Linked DNA regions of Nothobranchius furzeri. The protein of the gene in region 1 purifies or fractionates together with the protein of each later gene. This does not show direct contact. Links are inferred from orthologs where the notes say so. Each region holds a gene or a part of one and is shown on either strand. Other genes may lie near its edges.

What was found.
Region 2: the proteins of heterogeneous nuclear ribonucleoprotein Q-like (region 1) and snrnp70 purify together in Homo sapiens (affinity purification with mass spectrometry; 3 studies listed by BioGRID and IntAct, counting the BioPlex papers as one, with this or other methods). This does not show direct contact. The link is inferred for Nothobranchius furzeri from reciprocal best matches to the Homo sapiens genes SYNCRIP and SNRNP70.

Annotation. Positions count from the first base shown.
Region 1 is NC_091742.1:17,029,912-17,039,823, reverse strand, and holds the start of heterogeneous nuclear ribonucleoprotein Q-like, read left to right. Parts: upstream 1-5,075; 5' UTR 5,076-5,215; exon of another isoform or gene 5,216-5,228; intron 5,229-8,126; coding exon 8,127-8,280; intron 8,281-8,397; coding exon 8,398-8,516; intron 8,517-8,584; coding exon 8,585-8,806; intron 8,807-8,953; coding exon 8,954-9,130; intron 9,131-9,203; coding exon 9,204-9,339; intron 9,340-9,406; coding exon 9,407-9,612; intron 9,613-9,740; coding exon 9,741-9,890; intron 9,891-9,912. UniProt on the Homo sapiens protein: Heterogenous nuclear ribonucleoprotein (hnRNP) implicated in mRNA processing mechanisms. Component of the CRD-mediated complex that promotes MYC mRNA stability.
Region 2 is NC_091758.1:13,877,424-13,886,857, reverse strand, and holds the end of snrnp70 (U1 small nuclear ribonucleoprotein 70 kDa), read right to left. Parts: intron 7,469-9,434; coding exon 7,367-7,468; intron 3,282-7,366; coding exon 3,182-3,281; intron 3,108-3,181; coding exon 2,387-3,107; 3' UTR 2,087-2,386; downstream 1-2,086. Other genes in the region: lin7b (protein lin-7 homolog B), read right to left, coding at 112-230, 1,248-1,317. UniProt on the Homo sapiens protein: Component of the spliceosomal U1 snRNP, which is essential for recognition of the pre-mRNA 5' splice-site and the subsequent assembly of the spliceosome. SNRNP70 binds to the loop I region of U1-snRNA.

The DNA.
Region 1 (9,912 bases):
GGACTGACCAATCATACACCATTTTCGGCGGGCAGAAGGCAAAGGTACAGCTGCAGAGCTGGAGACCCCACTTCTACTAGAGACGAGGGGGAGCCAAGATGGCGCTGTGAACGAACGCGTTGTTTCGAGGGCAGCTATCAAACTGAACTTTATTTTGCAAATATATGTTATAATACGGCTTGAAACTTCCTATTGTGACTCAGAACTGAGCCTTTTACCTTATTTGGCTAAATTAGCAAACTCTTCTTTTTCAAGTTATGGCAAACTCTAGCGGGAAGAGAAAAAGTGTGATGAAGAAGCTGGAGGAACAGGCGGTTGCAGGTGCTTCCAACGCTCTTATCGACAACTGCCATGACTATTCTGCCGTCGATGTCGCCCCAAAATTTTCTGTAATGAATGCAGTGGAATCTCCGCCTCTCCCCATTACCCCAGAGAAACTGCCCAGTAAGAAAGGTAAATCTGAAATGGCAAACAACGATACTGTCACCTCTTTATCAATGTTGATCAACGCCAGATCGGATGAACTGAAGACTGTGGTTAAGGATAATACAGCTCAAATCTCGAGCCTGAGGGGAGATTTGGATGTCCTCTGCAAGCAAGTGATTGAGGTAAAGGGTAAGGTCTCTCAACTCGAAGTCACTGTTACAGAAGAAAAGAAGCAGCTTCTCACGCTTGAATCGCGCATAACTGAAATAGATATTCGAGGCACTGGAATTTAAAGTTACACGGAGTGTCTGAGAGGGTGGAAGACAAAGATGTGTGGAAAGACGTGACCCGTATCTGCCAGGAGCTGCTGCCATCAGATGCTGAACAACTCCCAGATGTTATCGACACAGTCCACCGGGTCGGGGTGAAGAAACCGAGCGCCACCAGAGGCATCATCATACAGTTCTCCTTACGGGTGCAAAGAGCTGCGGTGTGGGCTGCAGCGAAAACTCAACCTACCTTCGAGGGAATGGTCTACGCTTTGCGGAAGATCCCTGCAAAGCTGATAGAGAAGCAAGGCTGAATCTCTGGCCGCTTGTGAGTGAAGCACGCAAGGCGGGGAAAATCGCATACTTTGTAGGAGGCTGTGCTTTTATTGAGAAAAAGATTTTTCCTCCAGCCTGAGTTGAGGAGCAACTCCACACTTGCACCATGTTCCCCCAGACAATTTGCCTTAAGTTCTGCAAGTGACTGTTGGCTCATTTGCCGTGCATTTATGTTGTATTTACATGTTCTTATACCTTATTTTGATGCTGTTCTCGTATCAACCCTTCATTTAGCTCGCAGGGTAAGAACTGTGTGATCGACAAGTTAAAGTTCATCTTAATATCACAGATTTGTTGTTATCCATAGTTTCTCTCAACGCCAGGGGTCTAAGGGATAACTTGAAACGAAAAGCTTTATTTGTGTTTGGGAAACAATGCAAAACTGATTTTTGTTTTGTTCAGGAAACTCATACAGGTGATGATGATGTCTGCTTTTGGAAATCTCAGTGGGGAAATGAGACCTTTTTCTCACATGCTACACAAAGGTCTGCTGGAGTTTGTACTCTTAAACACTTTTACTGATAAAATAATACATACTGACTGTGATGATAATGGTCACTATATATGTCAGATTCTGGAAATATATACTTACAACTTCATTCTAATTAACATATATGGATTAAACTCGACATGTGAGAATAACAATTTGCTTACAATCATGGAAAAGACAATTTGTTATTGGTTGGCTAAATTCCCTCATGCTTATCTAGTTATAGGAGATGATTTTAATGTCACTTTGGACAACACCATGGATAGGTGGCCACCAGGTCCTCAATCTAATGCTAATATACACCTAAAATCAATAATGCAAAGATTTGATCTAATAGATATTTGGAGGAAAAAATACCCACATGACAGAATTTTTACCTGGGGTAATAAACAAGAACCAGACAATCAAGAATAGATTTTTGGTTAATTTCAAATATTCTCGATGAATATGTCAAGGTTGACATTCTCTCGACTCATTTGACTGACCACAAGGCCATCCAAATGAACATTTCTGTACTTCCTTCTTCCACCACACACCAACATAGTGCATACTGGAAACTCAACAGCTCCATCTTGTGTCATGGCATAGTAAAAGCCAAGGTTAAGGAACTAATACAAGCTTTTTGGAATGAGGCCCAGGCTGAAAAAGTATATGGGAGTAAATGGGAACTTCTAAAGTTTAAAGCTGGAAATTTTTTTTAGAAAATACTGTAGTGAGCTAGCAAAATGCAAACATTATGAAGAAGAAAATGTGATTTCTAAAAAAACACAGTTGTCATCTATTTGTCCAGATAAGTTATCCCCTGAAGAAAAAGAAACTATTTGAATTTCAAAATAAGCTGGATAAACTATCCATCTAGACATTATGTATATATATATATATATATATATATATATATATATATATATATATATATATATATATATATATATATATATATATATATGTATTACAGTGGGGCAAAAAAGTATTTAGTCAGCCACCGATTGTGCAAGTTCTCCCACTTAAAATGATGACAGAGGTCAGTAATTTACAACATAGGAACACTTCAACTGTGAGAGACAGAATGTGAAAAAAAATCCATGAATTCACATGGCAGGATTTTTTAAAATTTTATTTGTAAATCAGGGTGGAAAATAAGTATTTGGTCAATAACAAAAATTCAACTCAATACTTTGTAACATAACCTTTGTTGGCAATAACAGAGATCAAACGATTACTATAGGTCTTTACCAGGTTTGCACACACAGTAGCTGGTATTTTGGCCCATTCCTCCATGCAGATCTTCTCGAGAGCAGTGATGTTTTGGGGCTGTCGCCGAGCAACACAGACTTTCAACTCCCTCCACAGATTTTCTATGGGGTTGAGGTCTGGAGACTGGCTAGGCCACTACAGGACTTTCAAATGCCACTCCTTTGTTGTCCGGGCAGTGTGTTTGGGATCATTGTCGTGTTGGAAGACCCAGCCACGTTTCATCTTCAAAGCTCTCACTGATGGAAGAAGGTTTTGGCTCAGAATCTCACGATACATGGCCCCATTCATTATTTCCTTAACACGGATCAGTCGTCCTGTCCTCTTAGCAGAAAAACAGCCCCAAAGCATGATGTTCCCACCCCCATGCTTCACAGTAGGTATGGTGTTCTTGGGATGCAACTCAGTATTCTTCTTCCTCCAAACACGACGAGTTGAGTTTATACCAAAAAGTTCTTCTTTGGTTTCATCTGACCACATGACATTCTCCCAATCCTCTACTGTATCATCCATGTGCTCTCTGGCAAACTTCAGACGGGCCTGGACATGCACTGGCTTCAGCAGCGGAACACGTCTGGCACTGCAGGATTTGATTCTCTGCCGTTGTAGTGTGTTACTGATGGTGACCTTTGTTACTGTGGTCCCAGCTCTCTGCAGGTCATTCACCAGGTCCCCCCGTGTGGTTCTGGGATTCTTGCTCACCGTTCTCATGATCATTTTGACCCCACGGGATGAGAGCTTGCGTGGAGCCCCAGATCGAGGGAGATTATCAGTGGTCTTGTATGTCTTCCATTTTCTGATAATTGCTCCCATAGTTGATTTTTTCACACCAAGCTGCTTGCCTATTGTAGATTCACTCTTCCCAGCCTGGTGCAGGTCTACAATTCTTTTCCTGGTGTCCTTCGAAAGCTCTTTGGTCTTGGCCATAGTGGAGTTTGGAGTGTGACTGTTTGAGGCTGTGGACAGGTGTCTTATAATGAGTTCAAACAGGTGCCATTAATACAAGTAACGACTGGAGGACAGAAAAGCTTCTTAAAGAAGACGTTACAGGTCTGTGAGAGCCAGAGATTTTCCTTGTTTGAAGTGACCAATCTGAGCGGTTGAATCTGATTTGTCCTGTTCTGACAAACAAATGTCAGATCTGTATACTAGTAAGAAATGTATTATCAAACATGCTCACTTAGATTATTATTCAGTCAGAGTTACATCATATAATCCATTCGTTTCACTGAAAAAGGAGCAGGCAGAACTATGAACTTGTTTAGCCCGTCCAAGTAACATGGAAGAAAAAATACATGTATCTGTATGTAAATGTAGTTAAAATGTCTTCCCACAATAGCTCATGTAGATTCTGTCTGAGTTATACCATAAAAATCCTACAGTTCCACTAAAAGAGTATTTACCTGCAAACTAGCCTGTTAGCTCAGCTTTCTGCTGCTTCCTCTGTAGCAAGTTAGCAGTACACAGGTTAGCTCCAGTAGCTGCAAAGTCTCTGATGTTCCACAGGTTCCTGAAAAATTAGCAAACTTATTAACATAAACTGCAATAATTAATTCCATGAAACCAGTAATGAATATGTTAAGATGAATTTTTAATACGTCTCTCTGGAACAATAGACCATTGTCCTTAGGCTAGCACAATGCTTGCTTAGCAGCTAGCTAGTGAGCTAACGTCTGGTTAAAACCAACTTAAAAAGTGGCTTAATTTACAGATTAACTAAGAAAAGATCAAATATATCATCAATTGTCACTTTAGATCCTCAGTAGACACCACAGACAGCAGAAATAATGTGTTTGGGGCTCAAAATTCATGTTGTTGACCGAGGTGGGAAAAGAATGTCTTGGAGGCTACATCACTTCCGGGTCACTGAACAGTCACTCAAGAGAAACCACTGTCCTATAGGAGAGGACTTCTCAGAAGTCCCACCCACCCGAAAGGGTTGTGTCAGAATTGCAACCAAAAACTCAGGGATTGCAAAAGAGAAAGCCAGAAAGTTTAAGTGCAAATCTGGTAGTGAGAGCTAAGCTGTGTGCAGCGAGAACGAAACTAAGGAAACTGATAACAAAAACACATAGAGGCAAACAGAAAAAGGAAACATACTTTGTTACTCATTTTAAGAAGTTGATTCAGATCATAAGTTTTTCTTTTGAAACAATTTTTTTCTCTCGCAATGTCTTAATATTTGATCTTCAAAGTGTTTTTCTTGATCCTATTGGCACAAATCTAATCCCATAGCATCGCTCACCGGGCGGTGGTGAAACCGGAGGAGCCCCTGCGAAGGTCACTCAGAAGCCCCGTTTATGCTAAAATGAAGCAGCAGCGCTCGCGACGTTATACAGACGCCATTTTGTATCCCGGGTGTCAACCAAGAGATTACCCGCGCTAACGTTTCTCTTAATTTGGACTATCATCAACACGGCGGATCAGCATCGTGCACCCACAGGTAGCTTCGCGTGGTAGGTAGCAACAAACATGGTAGCCCCGAGTTTGGCTCGTGCACGCGCCTCTACAGCGTGCTGCTCGACCGGCTGTGCTAACCGGTCTTTTGAGGAAAGAATCGGACACGCGTCCATCGATGCCGTTATTGGGGTAATGCAGGGAAAGGAGAGCTTATGGCTCATAGCCAACAGTGTTTAATACATCACGGTACACGTTCTCCATTCACCGGTGTCGGCGCGGTAACTACCGAGGCCTACTACGGGGGAAGCAGTAGCTCAGGTGGTAGAGCGGATTGCCTCGTGATCGGAGGGTCATGGGTTCGATTCCAGCTCCCGCCAGGGGTATCCTGCTGTTGTGTCCTTGGGCAAGACACTTCACCCAACTTGCCTGTGTTAGTGGTGGTCAGAGGGGCCGACGGCGCCAAATGGCAGCCTCGCCTCTGTCAGACCTCCCCAGGGCGGCTGTGGCTACAAGTGTGTGAATGTGAGAGTGTGTGAAAGCGTCTTTGGGTGTCTAGAAAAGCGCTATATAAACTCAGTGCATTATTATTATTATTATTATTACTCGAGCCCCACGCGCTCTCAGGTGTGGTGAGTGTTGGTTTCAGCAGTTATGGTCCATTAGACCGGGTCGCTGCTCTGGGGCTACTTATCCATGTTTTTGTTTGTTTTAAACGACTCCGATCTGTCGCTGATGGGTTTTCAGTTTAGTAACGATCTAACCGGATCAGTGTGGTCAGACGATGTCCGCTGTCCAGCTCGATGGCGCCAAATACCGGCGGCTGTTGTCTGAAGTCACCCGGAAACAGATCAGTTAGCTGTGTTTAAACCAGTCTAGGATCACAACAGGTGTTATCGGTAGATTTACCCACTAACACAACAGTTAGGCCAGGGCAATCTAACGCTGGTCTTCCCGGGCCACCGTGTAGCATGTTTTGGTTGTTTTCCTGCTCCAACACACCTGGTTCAGTTCGCTTCCCTAAGAAACCAATTACTGGAGCAGACACACCAGAACGGTGGCCCTGGAGGACAAGGGTTAGACCATTGGACCAGGGTTATCAACTTTAAAGAGCAAGTCACCCCCAAATCTACTTCTTTTGCTGATACATTATATAAACTAGTGTCTAATCGGGCTGTAGACGCATGCAGTCAATAATTTGGGCCTTTAGTGTATCATACTTCAAATGTAAATAATATTCCTAAAACTCAGTGTCGCACCGTGTTCAGGTAAACACCCTGCACTGCAGCTGAATTTAAATCTGACATTGCTATTGGCTAAGAGGTACACCATGACGTTAGCTGGTACATTATGTCACAATGTTGTTGTGAACCTGTGTTCGTGTGTGTGTGCGTGCGCTAGGCAACAGCATTTGTTGCATTTTTCAAACAGGAAGTGGGAGTGGAGTAAGACTGATAAGATGTGACTGGATAAGAAAAGATTCATAATCAAACTAGTAAGTCAAGAGCATTGAGGGGGTTTATTCTGTCGTAAAAACTTTGTGTTCAGAGTTAGGGATGCATGTTCATACGATACGTATCGCGATACAGAGTAGAAAATATCGCGATACTAAAAGCTGAGGAATATTTCCGAGACTGAATTTAAATGAAAGAAGCATCATGGTAAACAGTCCAAACTGTTACATGTGCTGGTGCAACCAACGCAAAGGGATCTACATTTCATCACAGGAAATAAAAATTTGCCCTTTAACTGGGCGGTGTTTTAACTGGTAGAGTTGAGTTTCAGCTCAAACTGTACGACTTCCTTGCAGAGCAAGTCTCACGAGTTACGTGCTCACACTGTATGTCTGGTAGCGACATGTTGGGCCCACAAATATGCTAAAATCAGCTGTTTTTACACAACACGTCAGACTTATCGTATTATTAGGGATGCACGTAGTTAACTGCTTAATTGCCTTTAATGTTGTGACCAGGTAAACTAGTTTTTTCCAGTTAACTGTTTCAAGTCCTTCTGCTGTGCTTGGTGCAATATATTTTGTGCCACTAGAGGACGCAAGAGTGCCACTGTCAAATGGTTTACTGGGCGACCGCAGAAGAAGAAATGAGCTCATCACAAGACCTAACAAATGTGCTGAAACACAAGCGGTTATTAGAGTTAGCGGTTATTGTTTGTTCTTTCGTTATTTCATTCTTGGAGCACAAAAAGCCTCACATCAGAGCGCCGAGCCGAGACCAGCAGCAGGTCCGTCGGCCGTGACGCTCCTTATGCCTGATGCCTTATTTGTCCAGTACAATAAAGAAATTAAGTTTTCTTGCATTCAACTAAATAATTACACTAGGTGTTAAAACCGCGGCCAGACTGCACTTATCAGCACGTGATCACAAGCAGCGCTGCGTATCTGAGATCAGATGGTCCGCTGAGTCTGACGGACAATCCAGCTGTCATCCCACTCTCTTTACTTTTGTTCATAAACATAACGAGTGTGGGACTTAAGTCGTGAGTCATTGTATTAAAGAGTAGATGGAGAAAGTGTTATTCATAGAGCGAGGCAAATGTTTGGGGGGGGCTATTGACCGCTACGGAGCGTCGCTAGCCGGTTAAAGAAAGTTTGGTAAGCATACATCCCCAGTTGTTATTGTCCGTTGGGATCGCTGGAGGTTGGAGGAGGAAGACGATGAAAGTGAATCAACATCTTATCAGTTTAATCTGACAAACACGCCGTCTTGACAGTCCTTGTTATTGTGTGCAATAGTGTACAAATAAAAATGAGCAAATAGGGAAACAGCTGGTGAGCTGCGCTGATGCATGTGTGCACATGCGCCGTGAGCACTTCTAGTTAAAGATCTAACGGTTTAAAACTGGCTACAGAACAATTTGTACATGTTTACTCAGCGTTTCTAAAAGACATAGATCTGTCTCCCATGAGCCCCGGTGGTAACTGAGCTCTGTGTCTGCAGATGTCTGGAGACATGGCCACAGACCACGTTAACGGGAACACAGAGGAGCCCACGGACACATCAGCAGTGGCCCACACGGAACATTTCCCGGCCTTGTTGGAAGCTGGTTTAGCTCAGAAGGTAGCGGAGAAGCTAGATGAGCTGTTTGCAGAAGGTACGGTCTGCAGTTACCTGACAACAGTGTTTCCTACCTGTATGGTGGTGTTGGTTGGTGTGAGAGCAGAACATCATTAAGTGCATCTAATAATAGTTACTGCATTTCCTGCCACAGGTCTGGTGGCTCACAGTGACCTGGATGAACGAGCCCTCGAAGCTTTAAAGGAGTTTAATGAAGATGGAGCTCTGCAGGTGCTGGTCCAGTTTAAGGAGAGTGATCTGTCACACGTACAGGTAAGCATCCTCACCTGGAGGCTTTCACACTGACTTTTTTCATTTGAAAAGGAATTGTTGTTTTCCAGAACAAAAGTGCCTTTCTTTGTGGGGTGATGAAGACCTACAGGCAGAGAGAGAAACAAGGGACTAAAGTCTCACCTTCCACCAAAGGACCAGACGAGGCAAAGATAAAAGAGCTGCTAGAAAGAACCAGCTACACCCTGGACGTAACGACAGGCCAGAGGAAGTACGGAGGACCTCCACCCGAGTCTGTGTTCTCCGGTCCCCAGCCAACCATCGGGACTGAGGTGAGATGTCTGCGGGTCTGAAGATCAAACCTGAGAGGGAAAAATCATTTATGTTTCAGCTTATGAAGGTCAAACACACAGCCAGTAAATGCTATCACCAATGAAACACGGACAGCCTAACGGACACGGTTGGACTCCCACCCCCAGATATTTGTTGGAAAGATTCCTCGTGACCTGTTTGAAGATGAGCTGGTTCCTCTCTTTGAGAAGGCGGGGCCTATCTGGGACCTCAGGTTAATGATGGACCCCCTGAGCAGCCTGAACAGGGGCTACGCCTTCATCACCTTCTGTGCTAAAGAAGGAGCCCAGGAGGCTGTGAAGCTGGTCAGTTAAACAGAAGTAGCCCAGGTGTTGAAGGTAAACTCATCATCTCTAAGCTCTGTGTTGTGTTGTGTAGTGTAACAACTACGAGATCCGCCCTGGGAAGCACATCGGCGTTTGCATCTCTGTTGCCAACAACAGGCTGTTTGTTGGCTCCATCCCCAAGAACAAAAACAAGGAGCAGATCGTGGAAGAGTTCTCTAAAGTCACAGGTAGGCGCTGCCGTAGAAACGCATCTGACCACAAGCCCTCTGTGATCGCTGTTTTCTGTCTGAGCAGAAGGTGTCAGTGATGTCATACTGTACCATCAACCCGATGACAAGAAGAAGAACCGAGGTTTCTGCTTCCTGGAGTACGAAGACCACAAAACCGCTGCTCAGGCCCGCCGCCGACTAATGAGCGGTAAGGTCAAGGTCTGGGGCAACCTGGTGACGGTCGAGTGGGCGGATCCCATCGAGGACCCCGACCCAGATGTCATGGCCAAGGTGAGCCGAGACTTACCGAGCCCGAAGAGGCTCGAGGGGAAGTCAGGAACTAATAACGTATATTTCAGTTAAAGTAGCGCGGCGGGACAGGCGGCCCGAAGCTGAGCTGCTGCTGCTTCCTGTTGCAGGTGAAGGTCTTATTTGTCAGGAATCTCGCCAACGGCGTTACGGAGGAGCTCCTGGAGACGACCTTCAGCCAGTTTGGAAATTTAGAGCGAGTGAAGAAACTAAAAGACTACGCCTTTATTCACTTTGCAGAGCGGGACGGAGCAGCAAAGGTACGGCAGAACTCCAACACCG
Region 2 (9,434 bases), on another chromosome or scaffold:
AGCCTATTTAAAGAAATTAGTGTGTTGGCACCTGGGGTGGCCAATCAGATTCCAAGGGTGGCATGTGCCACCCCAGGCCACTCCCTGGACACGCCCCTGCCTGTAACGTACCTCCCTGATGGCGGCGCAGAATTTGCTCTGGAGGACTCTCTGCAGGGCTTGCAGCTTGGGAGGGGGCAGCTCCCCGGTCCGCTGCAGCCGGTCCAGCAGCTCGATCACCCGGCACACATCTAAAAGACAAACCTGGGTTACACCGGGCTTCACCCGTAGCCCCCACCCATTACTCCTGCTGGGTCCGGAGTGATGTAGCCGTCCACCTTCTTCAGATATTCTGGTTCTGTAGACGGTTAGCCATCACCCAATGGTCAGTCTGGATCTGAAAGAGCATGACCAGCACCATCCATCACCAACCAACAGAACCACATGGACACACAGCTTTCTGCTGAGCAGGGCTACGCCTTGATGCTGGCTCGGTCCATGGCTGTGCCTCTGGACCAGAACCACAGCAGTCAGATCTGTGCTCTGGATCTCTGCAGGGAGAGCTGAGTGCTCCAGAACCATAGAGGGACTGGATATACTTCATAGAAACCCAAAGTCGACAAGGACCCGGTTCAGCTGAACGTCTCAATCCCTTTGGAACCCACAGCTAGGTTCTGCTGAACTAAACTCATATGTAGGTTTGGTTCTGTTGGGTTTTTAGACTACCAAACTGAGTCGGTGACCCAGGGCTGGTCTGGCTGACCCTAAACCAGTCCTGGTCCTGAGAGGCCAACATCCGGTCAGCTCCAACACTGATGATCAGAACCAACCCAGAAGGTCAGTTGTGCGGCGGTCAGAACCTGAGTTTCAAATTAAAAGCCTCATGAAAATATGGCTTTAGGAAAGGGTCACGTGACATAAATGTAACATTTTTACTACTGAGCTAATATTTACCCACTCACACCTGAGACGTCTCGGTTCGGAACAAGCTAGTTGGTACCGGTCCGGATCATAATGGTCCATCTTTGCAGGTGGCTATATAGAGCCGGTCCGGTTCCGACAGGCTACCGGAACCGCTCAGACATTAAACATGCAGCTGAAAACGGAACCTGGACAGGCCCAACCCGTCTGTGCTAGGCTCCCGAGTCCGAACAGAACCGCGTGAAGCAGGAAGCTCCAGAGCGGCTCACATTTGACATCAGTACATGTTTAGTCTCTGGATCCGGGATGCAAACCCGACCCAGTTCTGCTGCAGACCCGAAACCTACCTCTTTCCAGGCAGAGCGGTTCGGTCGTAGCCGACATGTCGGCTTCCTTAGGGTGGTAGGAGGACATCATCCTGAGGTCCTTGTCTGATGGTCACGGCAGGTTCTGGTCCAGGAGTCTCACAGCTGCTCTGATGAGGGCATGATGAGACCGGGCTGGTTCCGAGAGGCTGAGAGAAGCGCAGCAGCAGCAGCCCCCTCCGGGTCAGAGCTGTTCTGGACCGAACCACTGGGGAGGTTCTCATCACAACCTCGTAGGTGAGACAGTCCAGACCGTTCAGCTGGACGGAACCGGTGGGGTAAACCTGAACTCTAAAACTAGAACAGGAAACGTTACGGGCCAGGTCCACGTCAGAACCTGAACCCAAACCCGAGAATAAAATAATCAGCAGCAGATAACTTAATCCGACGTGAGGCTGCAAGTACAGAACCGGGACCAGCAGTCAGCCCCGCAGGACCCACATCTGTAGTTCTGGCGATGAAACCACTTCAGAACCTCTACGGTCTGGGTCAAAATAAAACTAGAACCTCGACTCAGTAGAAACTGAACAGTGGGTTCTCCATCCTGGTTCTGGAGGACCGGTATCCGGCAGGTTTTGGTTCCTCTGCTCAAACACCTGTTCGGCAGCACACGAAGCTCTGTGGATTAAAGGCAGGGAAAGGTCTAAAACATGCTGGAAACCGGGTCTCCAGGACCAGGACTGAGAACGTGTTTTATAAAAATATGAGTCAGAACGTCGTCCTGGTCAGCAGGACGTTCAGAAAACGTTTAGGGATTAAAGTGTGTGTGTGTTGCACCAGCACCTCAGGCAAAAGGCTGTGTACTAAAATAATCACCACTGTCACAATCAAGACATCTTTATTAAAATGACCTGCAGATATAAAAAAAAGATGAAAAACCAAAACAGGCTCAGCTGCTCCACCACAACACGTCTGCTTCTAACACCTCTAAACACACCTGGCTCCGGCTTTAAGCTCCACCCCCGACGAGCAGGGCGATCAGCGGACCTCAACATGGTTGCCATACGAGCGGAAAAAGGAAAGCTAACTAAATGTTTGGATCCTTAGGAGGTTCTGGAGGCCTGGGACAGGAAGTGGAGGGCTTGTTTAGGGGGACTTCCTGTGGGATGGGGACCTCATGCTTAGTACTCATCTGGTGCCTCCATCTTGTATCCGTTTTCGCCAGATCCATAGTCATCAGCTGACGGTGCAGACTGCTGCTCCATCATTCCATCCTGACTGTATTCCTCCATGTTTGGCGGAGCGCTGTCCTCCTCATTACCCATGTCCTCTTGAGGACCCATGTCTTCTCGATTGGACCCGTGGCGCTCCTCCCTCCGCTCCCCCCTGTCTCTGTCCCCACGCTCCCGCTTGTGTTCCCTATCTCTGTCTCGTTCCCTCCGCCGGTCTCTGTCCCTGTGACTGCGCCTCCTGTCTCGGTCTCGGTCTCTGTCCCTGTCCCTCTCTTTGCGCTCCTCTGTGGCCTCAGCCACCTCCCCTTCATTTTCCTCCAACATGCGCTCAGTTCCCTCAGGGGGACCGTCTCCCTGGGCCACTTCCTCCCCGTCCACCCCTTTACCCCTTTCCCTGTCTCTCTTACGGTCCCGGCTCCTGCTTCTCCTTTTCCGGTCTCTGCTTCTCTCCCTACTCCTGCTGTCTCCTCCACCTGCTCCCCCACGTTCCCTCTCCCGTTCACGACGCCGGCTGCTCCCACCGCCCTCCTCCCCTGCACCAACTGGCCTTTCTCTTTCCCTCTCTCTGTCCCGGGAGTGTCTGCGTCTTTCGCGGGAACGGGACCTGCGACGCTCCCTGTCCTTGTCCCGATCACGCTCCCGGCTCCGCTCCCTCCTGTCGATGCGGTCACTGTTCAGAGCAAAAGGTCAGAGGTCATAAAAAACGCATTATAACAGCAGACAGGTGTACTCAAGTGTACTCACCCCCCCAGGGTGCGATCATCATAACGAGACGCATCATCCCGTCCCGAGTGCTTGATGTTCACGTCGGCTCCACCTCTCCTAGTGCCTCCTAAGCCCCCGCCTGGAAAAACAACATAAACATTAGGGGTGGGACTTTTAACGTGTGGATTAGAAAATAAATACACATTAAAAAAATCGATGCATTTAATCACAGCTAAAACTTGAAATAATGCGGAACCTTTGTCTTTGTAGGCCGAATATCACTGATGCAGTGCTCTGCTAATCGCAGTATCTGGAAAACACGTCAGCCTCTTATTTTTCAGAGACCGTCTTTGATCCCAGCTGCTGCTCGGTGGCATTAATCTTGCGCTGAAAGCTAATTTTTGCGAGATTTGGAGTTTTCCAAACTCAGGAGAATCCATCTTGTACCGCTACAGTTCAAACCGTCTGACCTCCGGCCCAAAATAGGCCGATCCAATCATGTGTCAGCACTGTGCTGTAGGGCGGGACTTAGTTTAGATGATAGTACCAACCTGGCTAAGCAAAACGGTTGATGCTAACAGCAATCAAGTCACGACGGCAGCGCGGGCCCACGGCCAAGAATGGTCGCGGTCGGACGTCTTAAATAAGTTAAAACATGACCGAGAATTCCCTAAAATCCCATTCCGCTACATTTCTACATGTATAATTGTTATTTTATAGCTACGTGTAGTTCAACATAAAGCATGTTGTGAATCAGTCTACATCCACTAGGTGACATCATCTACATGTCAAAGAGTAAGGTGACCACCTTACATGCCGGGGACCCGGGTTTGAATCCAGGCAAGGACATACGACGATCCGACTCCGACGGCATACGGAAACGTTTTTAATTCCACTAATTATATGTATTTTCTACAGTAATAAGCCTGAATTTTAATTAGTAAACATCCAAATGAGACGCGCTGAAAGACGTTTATGTCACTTTAGAACCATTTTTCAACCATGTTGGACTGACGCAGTTTCAGTGCTTAGTTAACATTTGCTGGGTCGCTTTAGCAGGTTCGAATAACATAGCTGTGTGACTTAAAACACCTTTTATGCACATGTTGTTCTTGCAAAAGCGGCTGAAATCACCCGAAGACATGGTAATTGCCGTATGAGTGAATGAAGCTTGAGCGAGTTGTGTTACAGGTGGGCATGGTTTGAGTTGTTACTGATTGGCTAGCCAGTGTCAGATGGGCACCACCTTGACGTCCTCCAATCAGCTCAAAATATTTGGCCAGGTAGTAGATTCAAGTCCTCGGTCAGATTTGTGCCTGTTCTAGAGTCTTTAAGGATTTTTATTTATAGACATTTTACTACATAATGACTAATAAATAACAAAACACCAAAGTATACTAACAAGTAAAATCCAACTATTTCAGTAAATCAACAGAGACCATTTAAAGGCTCAGGAACTCTTTGCAGCTGTTCTGCAGTTGTACATTTTAGTTGATTTGGGTCTTGTTTCATATCACACAGTGACATTTGAAGAATTGAAAAGCATTTTTTAAATTAACTCAATCGCTGCCAGCGTTTCTCACCATTCTTACGGTTTATTTAAGAGTCACAGAACGTTGCTCACTCGACGCCAAAACTACCAAAACAAAGCGGAGACTCACCTCTTACATGCGGAAGAATCTGCGTGTTTCGAGCGTTATCTGTTCTTTCATAAACCGTTGTTGATTTGTGATCAGCAGAAGCTTTTCCGGTTCGCGCCTCACTTTTTTTACAGCAGCGGCCTAAAACGATCTCCTAACACATGGATGTTCTGCTTCCTGATCACGTGACGTGTGACGTACGCGGATGAAGATCGGCTTTAGAGCTGAGATGTTTGTTCTCTCTGCGCGGGGGCTCGTCCGACGCCCACACAGTAATGTAATTGTCATTGGCAGTGAATGAGTTAAGAGCTTTAGTTTACAGTAACAATATCCACGTTGAATGTTTCATTCTTTGTCTCATTTTTAATGAAAAAAATTGCTTTCAGGGTATTTTTTCCTGATACGATTAATTAAGATGAATTAGATTTTTTTAATCGAGTCCCACCCCTAATGAAAACACACCAAAGGAGCTCCTTTAATGCAATCTTTATGCAGATGACATCCAACTGTACATCTCCTTTAACCTTTTGGGTGCCAGAGATATTTCAAGACAATATTTAATTTTAACACAACTATTTGAAAAGGTTGTAGCTTGGAAACGGTTAGAGACAAAATTAACTGAGAAAAATCTTCAGTAGAACCGAAACAGTCATATTTTGACCTCACCAGGCTGCCGTAATGGAAATGCATCATTTTTGAATTTATCACATTTAAATTTTTTTATTTATATATCCATATATAAAGCTCCTTTGAAGTTTCAATTAGATAGTTTAGCTTTTATATTGTATTATCTGACATTTACATTGGCCTCACTCAAGAGGAATGCTTTTCAGCCATATTTGTCAGGTTTCTTTGGGCTTGTACAGCTCCAGGGATGAGTGTAATGATCATTTGACCCAAGGGAAGGAACATTTTTTATAGTTATGTGGCACAGTTTGACTTCCATATGTAACACATCTGCTGCTTTTTTTCCCCATTGCAGCGACATCTGTCACATTAGCGGTGTTTTACCATCATTTCTACATCCACCATGTTCCAAACACGGTGAAACAAACGTCAAACCTAACGCTTGGAGCTTGTAAGCTCCATACACCATACTCTCGTGCAGCACCAGCTGTCTGTTGCTGCAGTAGCGTCATCTTTCCGGCTGGATGAGTGAATTTCTTCATCAGAGACAATATTCTGCTTTATAATCGGAGTCAGTCATGACCAGACCTGCCTGCAATTTAAGTTTTATCCCTCTAATATTCGCCCTCTCCGTGCTGCGCTCGTCTCCACCCGTCCTCTCCTCGACTGGGAACCTCTCGCAGTTTTCAAACCCTAAAAACTCAGAAACTGTTAATATAAACGCACCCATAAGTGTTGTTCAGCCTGAAGTTACACATCTCCACTATCTTCTGGTGTAAAGTAGTGACTTCATGAGGGATGGTAGCTGTGGCTTGTTAAAGTCAGCAACAACGCTTTTCGCAGTATTGTGACTGTGGCGCTTAAAGGGTTGAGCCCCATGAGATGTCAAAGCTGCAGCTGTTACACACCTGCTTAGTATCATAACCTGGATGGTGGGAGCTTTCTTCAGCTGAATGAAGATAAGACTGAGATCCTCATCTGTGCCCCAGACAAGCTGGTCCCCAAAGTCAGAGACTCTCTTGGTCAGCTTGCTTCTCACACCAAACCCTCTGTCAGGAATCTTGGTGTGACCTTTGACCCAGCTCTCACCCTGGATTCTCATGTTAGTTCTCTTGTTCGCTCTTCCTTCTTCCATCTCAGGAACGTTGCTAAGCTGAGTCCCATTCTGTCTCGCTCTGAACTTGAGACAGTTCTCCACACCTTCATCTCCTCACGCTTAGACTACTGTAACTCTCTTTTCACGTGTCTGAGCAGAACCTCCCTGAACCGTCTACAGGTGGTCCAGAATGCCTGTGCTCGGCTTCTGACCAAGTCCTCCAAACACACCCACATCACCCCGCTTCTCCTCCAGCTTCACTGGCTGCCAGTCAACTTCAGGGTTCATTTCAAGATCCTGGTTCTGGTCTATAGGGCCTTACATGGACAAGCACCATCATACATTGGTGATCTTCTTAGTCCCTACACCCCCAGCAGGTCCCTGAGGTCCAGTGATCAAAGCCTACTGGTTGTGCAGCACCAGGCTAAAGACCAAAGGTGACAGATCATCTGCTGCTGTGGCCCCCAGACTCTGGAACTCTCCCGCTGAGCCTGAGATCAGTGGACTCAGTGGTCTCCTTTAAACTCACCTGTTCAGGCTTTAGTGTGACCTTCATCACCCTCTCCTTGTTCTGCTCTCCCCACCTATTCCACCTTCCTCAGGATCCACTGATTTCCCTCTTTCCTGTTCACTCTCTCTCTTTCTGTACATTTTTAATCACAATTGTCTATTTTTTGCTCATTTTAATTAATATTTTTTGCAGTTTGAAATTTTTGTTTTGGTGAAGTGCCTCGTGATTTTTATCTTGTTTTGTTGTCTAAATTTTATTTTTTGTGTTGCTTCAGAAAAGATGGACACTAACCCTAACCTGGCTCTCTGTGCAACAGAGGACACGTCTACATTTAAAAGGGACAAACTGACCCAGCCTGCGAGGACGCCATCCTTTGACAGTACGTCCCCGTTCCACGTCCACCAACACCCGTCTGCCATCAATCTTCTTTCCGTCCGCGTGCTTGTAGGCGGCTGCAAGAGAGGGGAAAGAGGGAAGGCGGAGTTAAGATGGGAGTTCCAACAGCACCAGTTTGGGCAAGGGAGAAAAAAATAGAAATGAAAACAGGAAACGGTGCTTTAATATACTGACCAGGAGCAGGTGAAGCCGAGATGGCTGCTCCCTGGGTAAAAGCCGAAGGATTACGGAAGAGGACCTCCTTCCACCCGATGAGTGACTGATACGTTACACTCTGACCGTCATTAAGCCCTGAGGCCCGGCTCATTTAGATCCCACGGTTCTAACGTAGCCAGCAACATCACATCTGTGTGTGTGTGGTGTGTGTGTGTGTGTGTGGTGTGTGTGTGTGTATGCAGTGATCCCTCGCTACTTCGCAGTTCGTTTTATCATGGATTCACGACCGCGGATTTTTTCTTTGGAGCCTTATTGAAGGGAAATTCGCCGATTCGCGGTATTTTTCTATGCGAAATATCAAGAAATTCCTGTTTTTTTTCATCGATTTTATCATAAAATGCACTTTTTGTAATAAAACTATAAAAAAAAAACAAGTAAAAATACAGTACTATGTAAATGGAGGGTTTTAAAAGTCTGAATACTGAATACGAACCTGTTAAATAAATACTGTAAATATGGTGTCCCTACTTCGCGGATTTTCACCTATCACATCCAGGTCTGGAACGCATCTACCGCGATAAACGAGGGATCACTGTACAGCCAATACCACATCTCATCATCCAGTCTAGCCAGCTGATGAATTCAAGGCCACACGGACCAAAGCTGGCTGTCTAAAATCAGAATTACTTTTAGTTTTGGAGAGTTTAAATCTAGAGTGATTCCAGGAAGCCCGGAACGGACCCATCACCGTGTGGCGCACTAGACACTCATTCCATGAGCTTGCTGCCAATGGCCTCATGAACATCTGAGCCACCGGTAGAGCCTTACCAAAATTCCTCTGCACCAGAGCAGCATCACAACCTCTCCATCAGGGGCCTTACCACCACCCCTCCACTTCCTGGTTCACCAGAGATGACAACAAGTTACCCACCCAATGATAGGGCCTTACCAAACCCCCAATAGTCCCACAAAAATGGACCAACTGAGGAAACAAAACAATAAACAAACACAAGGTAGTTAAAAAAAAAAAAAAAAAAAAAACAAGCACAAAACTGGGCGACCTGTTGGAGTAATCCCAACCAAGTGAAGTCATGTTCCTACCACAGGTCTAAGGTGAGTGGAGACCTCTCTCTGACCGAGTCAGGAGTGTGTTTACTGGTGGGCTGTGGCTACAGGGACTCGTGAGCTCATCAGTGAAGCTGTAGTGGTGTGTGTCTGCCTGGGAATGTAATGCATGAACAGTCCATTTAGTTGAGTTATCAAAGAGTTTCCCTCATCTGCCTCTTCCATTAAAGCCAGCTCCAGACTGGTGTTGTCCCACTGCATCCACATATCCCTTACTGGTGATTTAAACTAAAACGTGTTGTCCTGGACTACCTGCACCACAACCACAGGGTTGCCGATGACAGCTTTGATACGAAATGACAGCAGCACGCTGAAGTTCATCTTCCACTTCTGAAGGTGTTTAAAAGTATTTACCAACAACCCTCAACATCCTAGCAGATATGGTATCCTCTACTGCTCTTCATCACTACAGACTAAAGATTGGTTCATGCTTGATGCGTCCGCACGGCGAAATTGCGTCATTTTAGCAACCACGCCCCTCTACCGCGCCTCCGCACGGCCCAAAATTTCAGCACCATGCACCTAGGAAATTTTCTAACCATGCGGACGGTCAGACGCGGAAAAACATGGCGGACTGGCAAGAACTAGTATGGCAGAGGTTCATAAATACAGACATTTGTATGATTCAGCTCTTAAAGATCACCGTGATCAACATGTTGTTAATAATTCTTGGAGAGAAATAGCTCGCACTGTCGGAAAAGACAAGGACGCTGTGAAAATGCTGAAATGCCATGTTGTAAA